2 linked regions of the Arabidopsis thaliana genome follow. The protein of the gene in region 2 purifies or fractionates together with the protein of the main gene of each other region. This does not show direct contact. Each region holds a gene or a part of one and is shown on either strand. Other genes may lie near its edges. The genes, in order: RPT5A and ATS9.

Evidence for each region.
Region 1: the proteins of ATS9 (region 2) and RPT5A purify together in Arabidopsis thaliana (affinity purification with western blotting; 2 studies listed by BioGRID, with this or other methods). This does not show direct contact.

What each region holds. Positions count from the first base shown.
Region 1 is NC_003074.8:1,601,403-1,606,745, reverse strand, and holds RPT5A (regulatory particle triple-A ATPase 5A), read right to left. Parts: upstream 3,388-5,343; 5' UTR 3,207-3,387; coding exon 3,087-3,206; intron 2,737-3,086; coding exon 2,620-2,736; intron 2,519-2,619; coding exon 2,411-2,518; intron 2,306-2,410; coding exon 2,114-2,305; intron 2,035-2,113; coding exon 1,843-2,034; intron 1,665-1,842; coding exon 1,546-1,664; intron 1,459-1,545; coding exon 1,371-1,458; intron 1,277-1,370; coding exon 1,157-1,276; intron 1,071-1,156; coding exon 930-1,070; intron 831-929; coding exon 753-830; 3' UTR 503-752; downstream 1-502. Other genes in the region: AT3G05540 (Methionine sulfoxide reductase (MSS4-like) family protein), read left to right, coding at 1-48, 139-259; CPA (Subunits of heterodimeric actin filament capping protein Capz superfamily), read right to left, coding at 5,309-5,343. UniProt on the Arabidopsis thaliana protein: The 26S proteasome is involved in the ATP-dependent degradation of ubiquitinated proteins. The regulatory (or ATPase) complex confers ATP dependency and substrate specificity to the 26S complex.
Region 2 is NC_003070.9:10,178,520-10,183,506, forward strand, and holds ATS9 (non-ATPase subunit 9), read left to right. Parts: upstream 1-1,782; 5' UTR 1,783-2,078; intron 2,079-2,079; exon of another isoform or gene 2,080-2,352; intron 2,353-2,694; 5' UTR 2,695-2,720; coding exon 2,721-3,980; 3' UTR 3,981-4,269; downstream 4,270-4,987. Other genes in the region: AT1G29140 (Pollen Ole e 1 allergen and extensin family protein), read left to right, coding at 510-678, 946-1,292. UniProt on the Arabidopsis thaliana protein: Component of the lid subcomplex of the 26S proteasome, a multiprotein complex involved in the ATP-dependent degradation of ubiquitinated proteins. In the complex, RPN6A is required for proteasome assembly.

The sequences.
Region 1 (5,343 bases), on a different chromosome or scaffold from region 2:
TGAGAGTGCCACCAAATTCTTGATGTCAAAGCTCAAAGACTTCCAATTGTAAGCTCTTCTCTTTTATCTTCTTTCTTCTATTTTTTTTTTGAAGTTAATTTTGTCTAATTGGTGAATTATTTTCAACGAATGTGACAGCTTCGTGGGAGAGAGCATGGAAGGAGAAGAAGGGAGCTTAGTGTTTGCTTACTACAGAGAAGGAGCCACTGATCCTACTTTTCTCTACTTGGCCTACGGCTTGAAAGAGATCAAGTGCTGAATACTTCAAAGCTACAGATTTTATTTTTTTATTTTGGAGTTTTACTTTTTGTTAGTACTTTTGGTTAATCTTGAGAGATTTTTCTATTTCAAGTGAAGTTAACTTTTATGCAATTTCCTTAAATTGAGAGCTTGAAAGGATTAGTGCAACGAAAAAGGCCTGATTAGTTTTAAAAATTCACTTGATATACGTTCAAAATACTATGATATATACAAAATATTAGAGATTGATAAGTGAATTCTCTTAAAAATTTCTGAAAGAAAACATAATTTTAGAATAGGTCTATATACCATGAACCAATACTATAGAGATACTAAGATTTCTAAATTTCCAAACTTGTTTTCAGAAGAAGATGAACACAATTAAATGTATTTTGATATAATAGATGATCCTGATTCGAAAACTTAAAAAGATCCAAATCGGAATGAGGGTACAAGTAAAACTAGTTGAAAGATAAACGGCATTGATAAAAATAAATGATGAGAGAGAGAGATCAGGCGTAGTAGTTCAAGCTTGCTTTCTTCTTGGCCTGGACTTGGATGATACCTTCATTGAAGTCTTCATGGTTCACCTGAACACACAAACACAACAACAGAGAACCCCACCTTAAAAAACAGACCAAACTACACAATCATAAAGCTCAAATCATTAAGAGTTCTGTCTTTTTTACCTCTGTGGCATCACGGCGAAGAGCTAACATGCCTGCCTCTACACACACTGCTTTCAGCTGAGCTCCATTGAAATCATCTGTTGATCGTGCAAGCTCCTCAAAGTTGACGTCTGGGTGGACATTCATCTTCCTTGAGTGAATCTGGATTCATTCAGTTGGGTTAGTTGTGTTATGAGAGCCTTTTACTTATCACCAAGGGTCATGTTTGAAAAATGGGAGAGACAAACCTGCAAGATTCTTGCTCTCGCTTCTTCGGTTGGGTGTGGGAACTCAATCTTTCTGTCTAATCGACCAGAACGCATGAGTGCTGGGTCCAGAATATCTGCACGGTTAGTAGCTGCAATCACCTGAAAAAATAGAAAGGTATGGTTGTTACTGTTTCTTTGAGAACGATTTTTAAGACCAGTATGATTAGTCCTTAGAATGGATAAAGACACTCACCTTAATACGTTCATCGCTACTGAATCCGTCAAGTTGATTGAGCAACTCCAACATAGTCCTCTGCACTTCCCTGTCTCCGCTGACTTCACTGTACTCTCAACCAAAGAATGTGATTTGAGCAAATAGCTGAGAAAGTGCAGAAATACATGAATTGGAATCAGAAAAAGATTTGTACCTGTCGAAACGCTTTGTACCAATGGCATCGATTTCATCTATGAAGATAATGCACGGAGCTTTCTCTTTGGCAAGTTGAAAGGCATCACGGACAAGCTTTGCTCCGTCTCCAATGAACATCTGTATATAAATTGGATATGTCATCATGTCATTACAATCAAGTATCATTATAGCTCGTCACATGTAATTATTGTTGCCAGAACACTAAAATCTTATATCCAGACAGGGTAAAGAGTTCTAAGAGATGAGAATTGAATCTGATACTCATATATATATATATATATATATATATATATACCTGGACCAATTGAGGGCCTGCCAATTTAAGGAAGGTGGCATTGGTCTGTGCTGCGCAGGCACGAGCCATTAAAGTTTTACCAGTCCCTGGGGGACCATACAAGAGCACTCCCTTTGGTGGACGAACACCCAGCTTCTCAAAACGTTCCTTGTGCGTCATGGGAAGCACAATTGCCTCTACAAGCTCTTGGATCTGTTCCAGAAATAAACTCAATTAGTTTCACTACGAAGCAAAGTCAATACAGCAGATTAACACAATGGTATAAACATACCTGCTTCTCTAGTCCTCCAATGTCATTGTAATCTTCAGTTGGTTTTTCATCGACCTCCATGGCTTTAACCCTAGAGTCATACTCGGATGGCAAGGTATCCAAAATCAAGTAGCTATCTTTGTTAACTCCAACCAAGTCACCAGGTTTCAAACTATCAGGATCCACGAGTCCAACAACTGGTAGAAAGATGGTCTGCAGTCCACATAACGAAAACAAAAGTATTTGCTCAGACATGAAACGGGAAACGGAAGAGAAGATGTAGAAAACATATCTAAAGAATGGGTTTGGAAGTCTCACCTGCCGTGTAGACGTTTTCAACACAACACATTTTCCTTTCCGTTGCGAGTCAAGATCAATATTTGCACCATCTTCCTCAGCATCATCTTCTGGATTCATCTCCAAAATCTAATAGCATGATATGGTAACACAACAGTTAGAATTCAAATCAAATAGGTAAGACTCTGTAGGAAAATACCAAAAATAAGATAAGAAAACTAGTTGAATACCTCGACAATGTTGCCAACCAAGTAAGGCAGCTGCTTGTTGAGTTTAATCTTCTCCTGATTCTCCTTAATCTTCTCCTTGTAAGAATCACATTCTAGATTTGTTCTTTGCGCGTCTTCCTAAATCCCCATCAAAGAAAAACACAAGATGAGCAATTTCAACATATCCAATTTGCAACAAGAAAGACGTAGCTTTTCAATTCAATCAATCTCAGTTGAGTTGAAAAATCCAAACTTTGAAAACACACGAAGAAATCACAAGAAGGGTCATAAAATTAAAGGTCTAGTTCATCTCCTGCTTCCACGGATTACACGAAACTCAAACCCTAAACCCGTAATCGCGAAAAATCGAAACCAGATTCGAGCCTGACCTTACTGGAATTAAAGCGATTGATGAAACCAATTTAAGAAGATACAATCATGGAGAACGATATAAAGGCAAAGGAGATCGAGAGAGATATAGGGCAAACCTTGAGAATTCGAATCTCGTTGTCGAGAAGACGAGTAGCTCTAGTGATATCTTCGGTGGACATGGAAGCAAGCTGATCCTCTTCGAAGCTTGACGTATCTTCAACCATAGGAGTTGCCATTTCAATACCCAAATCGGAGAGATAGATCGCCGGGAAGAGAAGAGCAAAGAGTTAGGGATTTCTCAAAGGGAGAGGAGAGGGAGAGCGACTATGAGAGAAAAAAAACCAATAAGGAGAGAAGACGAGAGAAAATAAATAACCAAAAAGAAAAAAGTAAATTATATTAGCTATTAAAAATAAAAAAGAGTTTTCTTAGGAAAACTTGTCTTCAAAGAAATGCATAGGGGAAAACCTCTGAACGAGTTAGAGTCTTCCACATTCTCTCGAACTAACTCAATATAAGACAATTTAAACCCCCCTGACTATAGCTTTCAGATTTACATTCCAATTATGAATGTCTAAATCTACTCTTGAAATTGCAAGAACCTTAATCACAAGAACTGCAACAGAAAGATTTCTTCCAAAAAAACAAACTTTATTAGAAATGCTGTTTTATTTATGTCTCTCATCCGAAATTTAAAAGAAAACCAAAATTCATTAAAACATCATAAACCTTTACAAATTCTTGTCATATATTCGAGCGTTAAGTAAACATATATATGCTCAAAACTCAATCATAAATGACAAGTAATGCCTCGGAATCTAAAAAAAACAATAATCAACAACAGAAAAGTAGTAGCATTAAACAAGCTTTTTTTGTAGCTAAGTCAGCATTGGTTGTGATAGTGGAGCCATCTTCATATAGCAAAACGATGACGTTCACGGGAGTTGGCGGGATGTATGCAATTTCAAGAGTAGTGATTCCCATAGGGATCACATTTATTGTGCAGTATCATTCGGCTAGATCTGAGGCGAAAAAGCAGGAGGATGAAAGTGATCACTGAAGACGTCCAAAGTCAGCAATATGCGATTATGAAATCAGGTAAAATTATATTTGTATTAGATGACTACCCACGCTACGCGTGGGTTTGTTTTAAAAATTGTTAAAAAAAAATTACATTGATTGTTCTTTATGCTAATTTATATTTATTATTTGTTTATTTTTGTATTATTAATAAAATTAGATCCATAATATGTAGTGATAATTTTTATGGTTAGATTCATTTGTGATTTGAAATATCAATTTATATATTTTGTCTATAAAGCTAATTATTTATAAGATTTTAATATTTTTTCACTAAATGAATACATATAACAACAATAATGATATTTTGATACAATTCTGTGTAACTATGTTATGTTTGTAGTTTAAAATTTTCCTAACTCGATTATAAATAAATCAATTCCTTGTTTTATGTACTTCAACAATATTGTGATAGACTCATGATTAAAGTTTGGATTGACATCAACTGAAAAAGATCTGAAGACTATTCGTACAAAAAAATAAAAAAATAGCAAAAATTGAATGTCATTGAAGTCAATACTTTTGGATATTTTGTCATTGCATATATCAATATTTAATAAATGATTGTGTCTTGGATGATTTGAAAATTGTTCAACTTGATTATAAATAAGAAGGTGGAGGAAATGGGTAATTACGTATGCTTTTGTTTATTTTTAGACGATGGAAGATACTTAGTTGTTTGTGTGTGTATCAGGAGGAAGGAGACCATCTCTGGACGTGGAAAACTCGAAGATGATTTGCAAGAAATTTGTGAGCCTCAACTATGACTAGTGCTCATGCTTGGAACTGAAACTATTTCTTTTAGTATATATCTAGTAATTGCTAGCTTATCACTCTTTAGACATTTTGCACCATCGTTTTGGGCATGGGACCAATATCTGATCAATATTCAAAAGTGGTTTTTGTAATGACTTTAACTTAAGGATTTTAATTTAATCATGATTCAGGATATATCAGCATCGTCTTAACAAATTAAAACAAAGCTTTCTAACCGAGGTGAACACAAAATTAATGGAGGTGATTGACAATTGAATTAAGAACAAGGATGGGGACAACGCATTATCATTAAAAACAAACGTGATTAGATTATCACTACAAACGTGATTAGATTACCACCCGGGGCCTAAGACTTTCACCATGGGCCTCTATTATTGGGCTTTCCTTTCAAATTGTGCTCTCTTTTTTTTTTTTTGCTTTTTTTTTATTAACAGATTATTTAAGGAAATCTTTATCATTCATATTAAAGTTTAATACATATTTAGTTCTTTAACAGTTCCAATAACATATCCGTTG
Region 2 (4,987 bases):
CTTTCATGTGCGGCTCAGATTAATTAGTCATTTACTACTAATAAAACTTTCACTTTGGGGTCTAGTAGATAATTCTCCACCCCCATTGAATCTTTTTAGTGGAGGTCTAAACATACATAAGATTCTATAGATTGACATTTGGGAAACCATCCTCATACAAAAAAGACCTAAACGGAATCTATGAAGAATTATTAACAGAAAAGAAAAACAGATGGCAATGAGAAAAGATCGGGTTCAAGGAAAACACAGCCGTACAAAACTCAAGAACAAAAACACCAAAAATAAACAAAAAAACTTCCAAAAATAGATATAGAATCACATGGTTTTGTTGTTTTGTCTATTTGTTCTCTATAAAAGGAGATATTTGGTTGGATCTATCATAGCGTCTCCTCTCAACCAAAGCTTACAATTTGTTCTCCCTTAAAAACTAAATTTTACAAATAAACTCTCAAATCCAAGAGAGGAGAAGACCGAAGTAAAAACACAAGAAAAAAAAGGATTAAGGCATAATGGCCAAATTCTTCATTGTCTTCCTTGCCTCTGCCCTATGTTTCACCACCCTCGTTCACTTCACCGCAGCTGATGCCGACGACTTTGACAAATTCCACATCAAGGGCTCCGTCTACTGCGACACATGCCGTGTCCAATTCATCACCCGTATCAGCAAATTTCTCGAGGGTAATTAACCACATTCTCTAATCAAATTCATTTGTTGAGCATACTGTCAATAGCAAAATATATTGGTTGATAAAAAATCGATCCCATTATGGTATATAGGTCAATGGTTAGAATTGTGTAGTAAAAATTCACAAAAATGATTACAAGCATATATAGACGTCTTTTTAACAATGTTAAAATTTTATAAAAATGTGGTTAGTCACATTTCTAAGAGTTAGTGTTGCAAGATTATAAGAAAAACTAATTACGTTATTGTGTGTATATCAGGGGCAAAGGTAAAGCTTGAGTGCAAGGGTCGTGAGAACCAGACAGTGACCCTAACCAAAGAAGCCGTGACCGACAACGCCGGTAACTACCAGATGGAAGTAATGGGTGACCACGAAGAGGAAGTGTGCGAGATCGTCCTCCTCCAATCACCTGACCCAGAGTGTGGAGACGTGAACAACCAAGAATTCCTAAGAAACGCAGCCAGAATCAGTCTCACGGCCAATGATGGCATTGTCTCCAACGAGACTCGAACCATTAACCCACTTGGGTTCATGAGGAAGACTCCTCTCGCTGAATGCCCTCAAGTTTTCAAGGAGCTTGGAATCGTCCCTGACGTCACCTTCTAAGCTTAATATACATATATACACACCCATATACATCGATCTCTCAAAGTCTCAACACTTTCAATTTTTTTGATGACTCTTTTTAATATATAAAACATTTATTTATGTTTTTTATGTGTCTGTCTGAGTTTACTAATTAACCATGTTTTTTTTTCGTTGTTATTGTTTTATTTTTGGGAGTTCTTTTTTACGAATGATTTGATTACCTTCCAATATTTATTTGTTACTTTTCGATTGAACAGATACATGCATGATGTAGTGAAAAACCCTACTCTAAAATAAATTTAAATCATTTACATGCATAGTGAAATTTATGACAGTTTGAGAAAGCTACATATGTAACATATAATGTGAATTATAGTTTGAGGTAAATGACTCAAACTGAAATAAGCAAAAGACAACAAATAAAATCGAACCCTTACCTAAAGAAGGCGGATCAGAGTTTTGTATATATTGGGCCTTTAGTCTGAGCCACTAGGCCTGAATCACAAAACGCGTTTTCACGACAAGCGTTTGCACCAGGATCTTTTGCAGCGTCTGGCGTTGGTTTTCAAACTCTGAATCCGAAACGCTAGATTTTAAGACGCCGAATTTGTTAAGCGTTCTCTATTTCCTGATTTCAGCATCTAAAGACAAATATACCCTTCAAAAAATTGTAAAACTACGAGAAGACTGTCCATTTATCTTTTCTTTCAAGCCAAAAAAAACTCTCGAATCTTCTTCTTCTTATTTCTTCTATACCGTCGTCGAAAAGCTTTACCAAAATCTCACGCCCCCGACGATTCATCGGTAAGTCTTGTTCTTGCGAAATTTCATTAATTCTTCTTCTGGGTTTGCTTATCAGATCTGCTTAATTCTGGGTTTTGGTATGCGTATTGTTTTCGATGTTTTAAAAAACCACATCTGGTTCCTTGTCTCGATAGTTCTAGGGTTTAGCTTTCTTCGATTTAGTTGATCTCAGTGAAGATGGGCCCGAGGATGTTCTAATTCTGATTGAAAGAAGCTGAATACAAAATTAAATAGATCTTAAAAGTATTTGAGTCGAAGAATTCGAACTGAATAAGTTAGTAATTACTGAACTATGTCTCTGTGATTCATCTTATTACTTAAAAATTAGGTTATAGTTTCATAGGCTTTGTAATTCAGTTCCTGTATTACTTATTGTAGCCTCGTTGTATCTTTGTCTTTGATAGATCTCTAGGCTTGTCTTGATCATTAGGTACAGAAGAGTTGATAAATTACAGTGATAAATTACCATCGTGGCTTGTCTTTATCTGATTATCTTGGTAATGTATCGAAGATGGATTTGTTTTTGTAGTGATGTGAAACCTAAAGAGTATCAATAAGCTTGAAAGGAGAAATATTTGAACATTGCATTAACAGGTCTATGGCTTTATTGTTGCAGGGATTTGAGTTTGCACTAAACCCACAATGGTTTCCTATCGTGCTACCACAGAGACGATTTCCCTGGCTTTAGAAGCCAACAGCTCGGAGGCTATTACGATACTGTACCAGGTTTTGGAAGACCCTTCTTCATCTCCTGAGGCTATACGGATCAAGGAGCAAGCGATTACAAACCTTTGTGATCGATTGACTGAAGAGAAGAGAGGTGAGGATCTCCGGAAACTGTTGACCAAGTTGAGGCCTTTCTTTTCCTTAATCCCCAAGGCGAAAACTGCGAAAATCGTCAGAGGAATCATTGATGCTGTGGCAAAGATTCCTGGAACAACTGATCTCCAGATCACTCTCTGCAAAGAGATGGTCGAATGGACCCGCGCTGAGAAGCGTACTTTCCTCAGGCAGCGAGTAGAGGCTAGGCTTGCAGCTCTTTTGATGGAGAACAAGGAGTATGTTGAAGCTTTGGCGTTGTTGAGTACTTTGGTAAAAGAGGTTAGGAGATTAGATGATAAGCTCCTTCTGGTCGACATAGACTTGCTGGAGAGCAAACTTCACTTCTCATTGAGAAACTTACCCAAGGCAAAAGCTGCACTCACTGCAGCTAGGACAGCTGCTAACGCTATATATGTCCCACCAGCTCAACAAGGCACGATAGATCTGCAGAGTGGGATTCTTCATGCTGAAGAGAAAGACTACAAAACCGGATACAGTTACTTCTTTGAAGCCTTTGAGTCCTTCAACGCTCTCGGAGATCCGAGAGCGGTTTTCAGTTTGAAGTACATGTTACTGTGCAAGATCATGGTTAGCCAAGCTGATGATGTTGCAGGAATAATCTCCTCAAAGGCTGGACTACAGTACGTTGGCCCTGACCTGGATGCCATGAAAGCAGTCGCTGATGCTCACTCGAAGAGGTCCTTGAAGTTGTTTGAGAACGCACTCCGTGACTACAAAGCACAGCTTGAAGATGACCCAATTGTCCACAGGCATCTCTCTTCTCTCTATGACACGCTTCTGGAGCAAAATCTGTGTCGTTTGATCGAGCCCTTCTCAAGAGTTGAGATAGCTCACATTGCTGAGCTCATTGGATTGCCGCTCGACCATGTGGAAAAGAAGCTATCTCAGATGATACTCGACAAGAAATTTGCAGGTACCTTGGATCAAGGAGCTGGATGCCTCATCATCTTCGAAGACCCAAAGGCAGATGCTATCTACTCGGCTACCCTCGAAACCATTGCAAACATGGGGAAGGTCGTCGACAGCCTTTATGTCCGGTCTGCCAAAATCATGTCCTGAGAGAGTGAGTGAGTTGGTCGTATGAATCTCATTCTATCGTTCTTTCTTTCTGGTTTTAGATATCGTTTGGACTCAAAGAAACTGATGTTTCTCAATGGAGAAAGTAAACTTGTCTGAATTGTTCACATTACTCGTTTTGCTTATGATCTTATTATGTCATGGTTTCTTACCTTTTATTAGTGCTTAAAATGTAGTTTGTTTTCATCTGGTTGTTGCAGTTTCTTTTTCTTAGCCTCGCAAGTCAACATTGTGTTCTCTTTTTCCAAAACCTTTAATCTTTACCTCATCCAAATCTCATTGATTTTTCTATCTCCGCATTTATAAATTCTGACCAACCCAGAACTCAATTCACAGGACCCACCATTTCTTTTCTCAACTCAGGACATGACTTGCACACAAGCAAGTCTTGATTTTGTTCTCTTCTTCTGTCATATTCTTTTATGTGCTGCTTCATCACAGTAGCTTTTCTAGTTAGCTTCGTGATTATTGATGAAGTAAACAAATTCTGTTAAAACGTTTATTTTAAATGTTAACACTAAAATGTGACATACTACAGTCATCCACAAAAATGTTGATAAGGCATATATTTTCACAAATCATAATATTTCGTTAAGATTTAAGACATTTTTTTGGCTGTTTGAAAAGGTTATTTATCATTAGTGGTTTACTGGTCTTTTATTGGAAGGACAAACATTTAGAGTGTTCCAATATTTGTTCAATTTCTTCTTCATAAACAGTAAAAACCTTATTCTAGTTATGTAGGTATCCCATTATTGTGTGATTGTCAGTTTATAGCTGAAAAGTGAAAACTTAAATGTCCAATTGAATGAGGTTTCTTCTTGGTTGAAAGATTAACTAGACTAATGTCCATAATCTTTAACTAACTTTACGTACACTTAAACGATGCGAAGCTACAAAGACCAAAAAAGTTAGATTTCTATAGGTTTATGAGATTGAGCAATAATAACTAAAAAAATTAGTACTACTAATAAATAGTTTCAAGGATA